Linked DNA regions of Caenorhabditis elegans. The protein of the gene in region 1 purifies or fractionates together with the protein of each later gene. This does not show direct contact. Each region holds a gene or a part of one and is shown on either strand. Other genes may lie near its edges.

What was found. The genes of interacting proteins can lie anywhere in the genome.
Region 2: the proteins of src-1 (region 1) and unc-5 purify together in Caenorhabditis elegans (affinity purification with western blotting, with the first as the bait; one study listed by BioGRID). This does not show direct contact.

What each region holds. Positions count from the first base shown.
Region 1 is NC_003279.8:1,565,770-1,570,616, forward strand, and holds the start of src-1 (Tyrosine protein-kinase src-1), read left to right. Parts: upstream 1-1,839; coding exon 1,840-1,916; intron 1,917-4,567; coding exon 4,568-4,847. UniProt on the Caenorhabditis elegans protein: Non-receptor tyrosine-protein kinase which plays a role in endoderm development by controlling spindle orientation in EMS blastomere, probably downstream of receptor mes-1.
Region 2 is NC_003282.8:5,525,332-5,530,321, forward strand, and holds the start of unc-5 (Netrin receptor unc-5), read right to left. Parts: upstream 3,008-4,990; coding exon 2,926-3,007; intron 2,595-2,925; exon of another isoform or gene 2,574-2,594; intron 2,310-2,573; exon of another isoform or gene 2,289-2,309; intron 1,372-2,288; exon of another isoform or gene 1,351-1,371; intron 1,039-1,350; exon of another isoform or gene 1,018-1,038; intron 577-1,017; exon of another isoform or gene 556-576; intron 1-555. UniProt on the Caenorhabditis elegans protein: Receptor for netrin (unc-6) required for axon guidance. Mediates axon repulsion of neuronal growth cones in the developing nervous system upon ligand binding.

The DNA of each region.
Region 1 (4,847 bases):
ACCCCCTCAATTTGTTCCCTATGTTTAGGAATTCAACATTTGCATTATAAAATCGTTCTAAAAATTAGGAAAACTCTTACAGACTTGGTATGACAAGTCAAAATTGACAAAATATGAGTACAATTCGGACAATTTTTGCGTATCAGTCGTAAAATTCGTAAATTTTCGATCATAAGTTGTTATTGAAATTGATCATAACTTAATGGAAAACATGAGAAAAAACCTGTTCGAAAATTAGTTTTGCATCAAATTAGGTGTCCGAAAATTAGTTTTGCATGCCTTACTAATAGAGGAAATACGGTAAAAGTTATGGCGGCTCAAAAAATGGCCGACATTTTTTTAAATTTTTTATCCAAATTTCGCCGTCCATCGACTTTATAATACCTAAATGAAGTTGAAAACGCAGGATAATTACATTGTATACTCAAAATTTGACGGTGAATTCAAAAAAGTTAATTTCCAGCCGCTTGACAAGTCGGTCAAATTTCAAAATTTAACTTATCTTAGGCCATTTTTTGAGCCGCCATAACTTTTACCGTATTTCCTCTATTAGTAAGGCATGCAAAACTAATTTTCGGACACCTAATTTGATGCAAAACTAATTTTCGAACAGGTTTTTTCTCATGTTTTCCATTAAGTTATGATCAATTTCAATAACAACTTATGATCGAAAATTTACGAATTTTACGACTGATACGCAAAAATTGTCCGAATTGTACTCATATTTTGTCAATTTTGACTTGTCATACCAAGTCTGTAAGAGTTTTCCTAATTTTTAGAACGATTTTATTATGCAAATTTTGAATTCCTAAACATAGGGAACAAATTGAGGGGGTGCAAAACTAATAGAGGAAATACGGTATTTGGAGAAGTTTTCAAGAAGTTTCATTATGAAATTCGATGTTTTCAGACAATTTTGAGTATATTAAAGAAATTTAAAAAAAAATTCAACTACACCACCTTTAAATACAAAAATACTGATTCTGTTGGGAAAATATTGTAAATTTCTTCAAAAAATTGATAATTTTCGCGTTTTTTCTGAATAAATTCCAAGCGTCAGAGTTTATTTAAAACATATTTACTACCCCTCCATTTTCACTTTTTCCTCTAAAATCTCGTTTTTTTAAAATCAAATTCCCGCCAAAATTTCCTCATTTTCAGAAAAAAAACCTCGAAAATAAGAAGAAGAAGCAACCATTCCATATGCATGCTCAATAATTGTTGTTTGCACAAAAATACTGGTGTCTTGTGTGAGTTTTTTTGGAAAATTCAGAAAATTTTCACTGAAAATTACAAAACCTGACAATTTTTGAATTTCGCGACGATTCAAGTATTTCACATGGTGTCAGAGTGTCACATTTCGGCTTGATCTACGTTGATCTACAAAAAATGCGGGAAAACGGGACGCTGACTTCTCATCTGATTTTGTATGGTTAAGACCGTCCTGACGTCACATTTTTTGGGCAAAAAATTGCCGCATTTTTTGTAGATCAAACCGTGATGGGACAGGCTGGCACCACGTGATATTTGCAAATTGTAAATTTTAATATATATTAAAATTAACAAATTTTTTGAAATTTGTTTGAAAATTCTGCTTGTACAGTCTTTTTTTGCAGTTTTCCAGTTGTGGAAATGTCAAAAAAAAATTAAATTGACAGAGATTTTTCAGTTAAAAAAATTTAAAAAAAAAAAACGAAAAAATTCACAAACAATTTTTCGACAAACCGGCAAATTGCCGAAAATGAAAATTTCCGGCAAACCGGCAATTTGCTGATTTGCCGAACGAACGAGGCAACCCCAGTAACATTTTCCTGAAATAATTTTTTTTCAGAATAAATAATGGGTTGCCTGTTTTCAAAAGAGCGGCGATCGGGAGGCAGTGATATGGGTGTTTCCGAACGGATAGATGTCTCCAGGTAACTATTTTATAGAGAAATGTATTATTTTTTTGGAGACAATCAACTTTTTTTTTAGATAAAAAGTGCAAAAATTAAATACAGATTTGAAAAAAAACCGATTTTCCGGTTTGGTTTAATTTTTGGTAAAAATTTGAAATTATTGATTTTTAGTTAAAAATTAGAAATCATTGATTTTTCGATAAAAAATCATAAATTATTGACTTTTCAATTAAAATAGGAAATTTAGCTATTCTAAATCTACATAAAGCATGATATTTTATGCATTTACATGGTGGTGAGCGGAAATCCCCCGTTTTGCCGGAACTTTTCAATTCCGAAAATTTGCCCGTTTCACATTTCGATAATTCGGCAGTGATCAACAGTTGTTAGATTTTCGGCATTTTCTCAGCAAGTAAGTGCCCGATCCCAACAAATTCCGGCAATTTGACATTACTGAGTTCCAAAGAATTTTGAAAAAAAAAACGAGATCCCTACTGTAGTAAATGTTTTTATTAGAAATTTTTTTTTCTGGAATTTTTTAATCGAGACTGAACTCTTTTACAATTTCGAGTGTATTTTTTTGGAAAAAATGTATAGAATTTAAAAATGTATCATTTTCTCTGTCCCGTCTTTTTTTATAGAAAGTTTGCTTTATTTTTAGGCTATTTTTAGGCCAATGTTGTTTTCTAAGCCTAAAAATGAAAATAGTATTAAGATGAACATGTGCATTAAAATTGAAATATTGAATGTTTAAAATTATTTAGTGCTCACTTTTTCCGAAAAAAAAAATATATAAATAGAATAATCTCAGAAGAAAAACTATGGCATCATTTTTGCCCAATTAGATGCCAACGATGTCTTTAAAAAATTATATATATATATATATATATATATCTTTTTTTTTAAAAACATTTAAAGACATCTATTTGGGCAAAAATGATGCCATAGTTTTTCTTCTGAGATTATTCTATTTATATATATTTTTTTTCGGAAAAAGTGAGCACTAAATAATTTTAAACATTCAATATTTCAATTTTAATGCACATGAGAATGTTCATATATGTACTTCCTTTTCTATAAAAAAAATTTGATTGTTTGCCCACCTAAAAATGCACTAACAACGCGTCAATTCGCGTATTATATTTTTTTTAAAGGTGGAGTAGCGCCAGTGGGGAAATTGCTTTTAAACATGCCTATGATACCACAATGACCGAATATCATGGTTAAAAAATTCAAAAAAAAATTTCTAAATTTTATATGATTTTTTGAAAATTGAAAAAATCTCAGTTTTGCCTAATTTTTTGTTTTGCCTAGATTTGTTCGGTGGAGCGCGCTTGCACGCTTTTATTTTTATTTATTGTTATTTTTTTATATTTTCCACCGATTTTCAATGTTTTCAGTGTATTTTTGTCTGAAATTTGAAGAAAAAGTCAAAATAAATGCAAATGTTCGATTAAAAAGCATTTAAACGACGATTTCGAAACCTGAATTAATTAATTTCAAAGATTTACGCTTGTGAAGTAGCTTTTTAATCAAAAATTAGCATTTATTTCGACTTTTTCTTCAAATTTCAGACAAAAATACACTGAAAACATGGAAAATCGGTGGAAAATATAAAAAAAAAAACAATGAATAAAAATAAAAAATGTGCAAGCGCGGCGCTCCACCGAACAAATCCAATTGGGGGTAATTCAAAATTCAAATAGGAATTATTAGGCAAAAATCTTTTTTTTACCATTTTTTAATTTTCAAAAAATCATATAAAATTTTTTTGAATTTTTTTATCATGGTATTCGGACATTGTGACCCCATCACTGCAACTTTTTCCTCACGAGAGACAAGGAAAAGTGGTTTCTAGGCCATGGCCGAGGGGCCGACAAGTTTCAGCGGCCATTTATCTTGCTTTGTTTTCCGCCTATTTTCTTTCGTTTTTCATCGATTTTTTTCGTTTTTTCTTAATAAAACTGATAAATAAATATTTTTTGCAGATGCTAAAACAATTTCCAAGTAAAAAAATCATGTATTCAGTGGGCAAGCAGCGGTGAAAGTAGTCGATGTAATATGATGGATTACGGGAATACAAAACCTAAACTTTTTCTGAAACATGATACATATGATGCTTAGATGCTTAAATTACCTGATTTTCATAACGAGACCGCTGAAAAAGTTTTGAGGTTTTCAAAATTCAATTGTTTTTGGTGAAAAAGTAGAGATTTTCGCACAAAATGTTGAATTTTAAAAATCTCTAAACTTTTTCAGCGGTCTCGTTATGAAAATCAGGTAGTCTCAGCATTTAAGCAGCATATGTATCATGTTTCAGAAAACGTTTAGGTTTTGTATTCCCGTAATCCATCATATTACATCGACCACTTTCACCGCTGCTTGCCCACTGAATACATGATTTTTTTTACTTGGAAATTGTTTTAGCATCTGCAAAAAATATTTATTTATCAGTTTTATTAAGAAAAAACGAAAAAAATCGATGAAAAACGAAAGAAAACAGGCGGAAAACAAAGCAAGATAAATGGCCGCTGAAACTTGTCGGCCCCTCGGCCATGGCCTAGAAACCACTTTTCCTCGTCCCTCGTGAGGAAAAAGTTGCAGTGGCTACTCCACCTTTAATTATTTTTCCATTTTTTTTCCGTACACTTCCCCCATTACCCAAAAAGATATCCACGCAGATTCCAAACGCCCCAACAACAGACAGTATTCCACGTGAATAACGGTGGAAACGAGGGAACCATCTCTCAACTAAACGGAACATCAGACGGAATGATGGGAAATGGACGTGGTGGTGGTGGTGGAGGAGGAGCACAGGAACGTGAGACTCTGGTCGCCCTCTATCCATACGATTCACGTGCCGACGGGGATCTTAGCTTTCAAAAAGGCGATGCTATGTACCTATTGGATCATTCGAATTGTGATTGGTGGTATGTTCGACACCAACGA
Region 2 (4,990 bases), on another chromosome or scaffold:
TTCTTGATTATTTTTCGCCCCAGAAAACCGCCGATTCATCATAAAAATCACACCCGAAAGCTCTTTTCCAACTAAACCAACTGCTCGTTTCACAATAATTCGAGAGAGTGATAGAGACCGGAGAGACGCACAGAAACACCAGGATTTTTGATTTTGTGACGGAAATAGATAGAATTTGGGGGTTCTTATGGTCATATTCGAAACATTTACAATACTTTGGAAAAGGATAAATCTAGACTAATCAAGGTTATAAAGTCTTCGAATATTTAAAAGTTTCATAAAACAGAAATTTCATTTTTTGAATTTTCCCAAGAATACTGGAAATTGATTGAGTTCTAACCGCAAAAAGTTGGTCAAGTGTTTTAATAAAGTCGTCTGGAAAATATTCTGCTAAATCTAACGATTTTTTCTAGTTATCATCCATTTTTAGCAAATTTTCAGATAGCTTGAAAAAATTTACAACAAGTTGATTTAGGGGAAACTTAAGAAAATTAATATTTTGAGAATTTAACAGCTTTTGGATAAATCACCAAAAATGAAAGAATAAATTGTTTGAACGATGATACCATGATGTTAATAAATGCGATTATCTCTACGATGTTTGAAAATTATATGAAACAGTAAAATAATTGCTAACATTTTCAATTTTTTACACTTTCTCATAATTGATGCTGCTTCTGTTTCTGTGTTTAACGCTACCAATGTAAAACATAATACAAAATAAAATTTCAGTGTAGGCACCACACAAAAGATAGACTACTGCCAATTTACAGGTTAGTAGTTTTGTTTTCTTTTATTATTTGAATTTTGAATTGATTTTTTTTTAATCGTAGATCTGATTCGAATAATCTGCACCCGAATCTATTCTACAATGGAGAAAATGGAAGAAAATATGGTATTTAATGCTCTCATGGAAACAGAATTTTTAACTATTTTGTTGGGAAAACTTGAAAAATTAAGAAAAAAAAATTACAGTTTCATATAACTTTCAAACTTTGTAGAGATAACTGCATCTATTTCATACGCCAATGGTTTGTACTAGTTAAAATAATTGTTGCTTTAAATTTATATTTCACTTTTGTTTCGAACGCCGGATGACGTTTAAAACTTCTAGACCATCAAAGTATGTATATTTCCGCCATAAATTAAAAAATCCTGCATAAGAAAGCCAGGCGCGGCCAGCTTGAAGGTAGGCAGGCACTCAGAATTTGCCTTCGTGAGATAGTCCTTCTAAAAATCCGTGCTATCGCGGGAATATAAATTTTGATAAGAAAATTTGAAAAAAAAATTTCAAATTTTTTACAGTTTCATCTATCTTATATATATTGTAACGATACTCGTATTTATTAGTATAATCTTTATTTTTATCGCGGCTGGACCTCACTATCAGATTATAAACTGAAATTTTATCGCAACCAGTGTCATAATACAAACTATGTGAAAACAGGTGACACCACTCCCGTTCACCCATTAACCTCTCCCAATTTTACAACATCTATCAACTGGAGAATCTATGAGCCATAAAGTAAACTAATGCGTAAGTAAAATATTCTGTTTACACATGTCAACAGTTTAATAAAGCAACAACATATATTTTCGTTCTGATTGACATTTGACATTAAGGTATACCTGTGGGGGAATGTACGGGGGGTCCATCAAAAAGAGAATACCGCTCCCCCCCCCCCCTCCAGGTACGTCGTCATCATCATTGACTCAGGAAACGTTACAACAATATCATTTGGCGGCAAAAATCATCGGACCTAGTCATCCGTGGTGTGAATGGGTGATGATTGGAGAAGAGGGGAAAGAGGTGAGCACACACACAAAAAAACAACAGAAGAAGAAGAAGAAGCAACTGGTGGTGGTGGTGAAAAGAGTTCTGGCGAGAATTGGGATTAAGTGGCGGCACGTGTGTCTTTGGAGATGGGACACCTTCTCAAAGGTTCAATGATGTATGAGTGAGTGGGAAACGGAAGAAATTGGAGAAAGGGACTAACTGAAGTAAGGTAGAGAATGCCTGCCTGTTTCTGTGCCTACTTATAGTTTTATGATGAGTCGCAAGACCTAGATACTGTCGGCTGCTAGTGAACTCATGTTTGATTTTATGAAAGAGCAAAATAAAAATGGATATTCAAAAGGCAGGTAGACGTTAGGCAAATTAAAACGCCTGCCTGCCATCAATGAAAGCGCTAGAGTATATTATGACTGCTTGATCAAATTTTTCTTGAAATGTTAATTTTTAGAAATATTGACTAAACTTTAATTTGTTAACTTTTCCGTTATATTCCCAATTTTAAGGAGAGGTGTGATTGATAACGTTTCATAGATCAGACTTTATTAAAATTGTGAAAATGTATAGAATCTCTGCAAAATTCACGTGATTTTTAAATGTTACAACCAAAGATAATTTTGAGGTAAGTTTTAAAGTAACGTTATTGTTTCAAGAAATGTTTTTATAAAAAAACACAGAAGGCAGTCTGCAAAGCGAGAGAGTCTGCCTCCTCGTCGGAGGGAATTTTTACTTTGGGAAAACAGTTCAGAATTTTTTGCAAAACTATATAAACATTTTATAAATGTTTTTTTAACAAACGCAATCACATCACAAGGAAATTTAAAATACTTATACAATTTCTGAAACAGTAATTTTTTTCAAATTTTTTAAATGTTCAAACCGTGGCCATACAGATACCAAAAGTAAAACAAATCTAGTATTTACTGACAAATCATCAAAAAAAAGTGTCATAGCTCCTTGAAACTAACACCAAACAATTCACTGACCCCTCTTAATACTTCCTAATATTTACCCCCGTTACCCCCTGCCGGGGGCACCCATTGGCATATTTTCTAAACAAAGAAAAGATAGTCCTTAACTTTTTTATAAGTAGGATAAAATAAGAGGGATTAATTCAAAAATCAGAAACTCACTTGATTTGTAGTCCAAGAAATAATCGCTGTATGCTGCATCTCCATTGGAATCTGAACTCACATCGGGCGTGTCGTCCTCCATCTGTAGAATTTCAAATTTTCAAATTAAAAGGAAAAACTGATGGAAAGAATAAAAATCAAAATGAAAAAATTGTGGAGGTCCCGTGAAGAAATAAAAAAGGTTTTTGTGAGCACGGAAGACATGTGAACAAGAGGAAGAGAGAGCGGCGATTCTTGTAATAAAAACCAGATGTTAAAGAAAGGATAAAGGTCCGAAAAATACAAATTGGACAACCAACCAGACCACAGACAGAGTTCAATGTTTTCTAGATTTGGGTTGGAAAAAATAGTGAACTTTTCTGTCTGTAAACTTAGTAATTATAGATTTTTTTCACTTTCTAAACTGATTTTTTTTCAATGATCCAAAATTATTTCTTATTTAAAAAATGGAACGAAAAACCACAGAACATCAAAACTTATTTGAAATTACATTTTGAAAAAAAACATGGTGAAACAGTCAACTTTTTAATTTAATTACAATATAGGGGTTACAATTGTTGACATACGACTATGGTCTTGAAGTTGCATTAAATAAAGTGAATCTACTGAAACAGACAAATAAATTTTATAAATTTCAACTATCTAGAAAAAAGTTTTAGATAACTTTTTCGTGATGTTTCGTGCTGATATGTAAACTCCTTGCTGCTCAAAAAACTGTAAAAATCTGTTTGCAATGTTATTACACTTCACCTACAGAGACATTTTTGTATTTTCTCATAGAAAACTTATTTGACTTTTTTACAATCATAGAACACTCAAGAATTTGTTTTCGGATTAAATACAAAGGTATCATACGAGGCAATGTCGGAGAAAAATCTGAATTTAAAAGAAGCCTTACTGAAACTGTAACAATATTTTGTGCTTCAAGAAACTAAATTCTCAAACAAATAGGAGGTTATTGGAATTTTAAACGAACTTAAAAAAAGGGAGTTGATTTTTTTTCTTCAATTTGCACACTTTGGTTTAGTTTGAATATAATCAGGATACAGAAAAAATTGATTTTGATGAAAAAAAATCATCCAGAGAAAATTTGATCCAGTAAAAACATGTTTCATAGTTTTGATGAATTTTATATAATTTCACAGTTGTATTAGAATTGGAATAATACCCGTTCAATTATTGAAGAATTTTGAATTTGATAAATATTCAGACCAACTTTTTCTTACATGGAACTCATAAGCTTTATTGTCTCAATAACAATAATGGATTCAATAAAACAAAAATACTCTTAATTCACAAAAGATCCAATTGAAACTGTAAAAAAAATGTGTGCTTCATCTTCAGTGATTGAATTCTGAAGGAATAGAAAATAGTGGAAATTAAGACAACAAAGCATGGAATCTGAAAAAATGGAAAATTTTTCTAAAAACATTTTTTAGAGATCATTATATGGGGAGTGGTAATTTGAATTCCATTGTTACGCAGATTCTAGAAAAGTCGTCTTTGAAAATACTTACTATTCACTAGAGATGTTAGCTAGAGAACAATTTTTTCTGTAAAAGCCTGTTTCATTATTTTGATAAATAAACCATGATTTTTGAAATGTTAGTGACATCTGAACATTTCTTTTTTAAAAAAATTACTGTTTCAAAGTCAAATGTTATAATTTTATTAAACTTTCAATGTTAATCGTCCTATGTGTCAAGCAGAGCAAGATTATGTGAGAAATTGTGAGAAAATATAATATTTGAGCAAGTGAATGAAAAGAGTACCGCCTAACTCAAAAACTTGAAATTAACATAATAAAGAGAAATTCTCGTGGTAAAGGCGGGAGATTCCCTGAAGGGTTACTGTAGGTTTTCATGGGTTGGAAGGAAAAACTACAAATTTGAATAATAGGTGTCTTAAAAATTATTTGAGAGGTTTGAACAAAAACATTTGACAAAATAAAAAAAAACAAGATAAGATAACAAATATTTGGACTACTGTTTTGCACTTGTTTCAAAAAAAATAATACAAGAAAGTTTTCGCTTCTATTTTGTCAAGTTTTGCAGATTTGAAAATA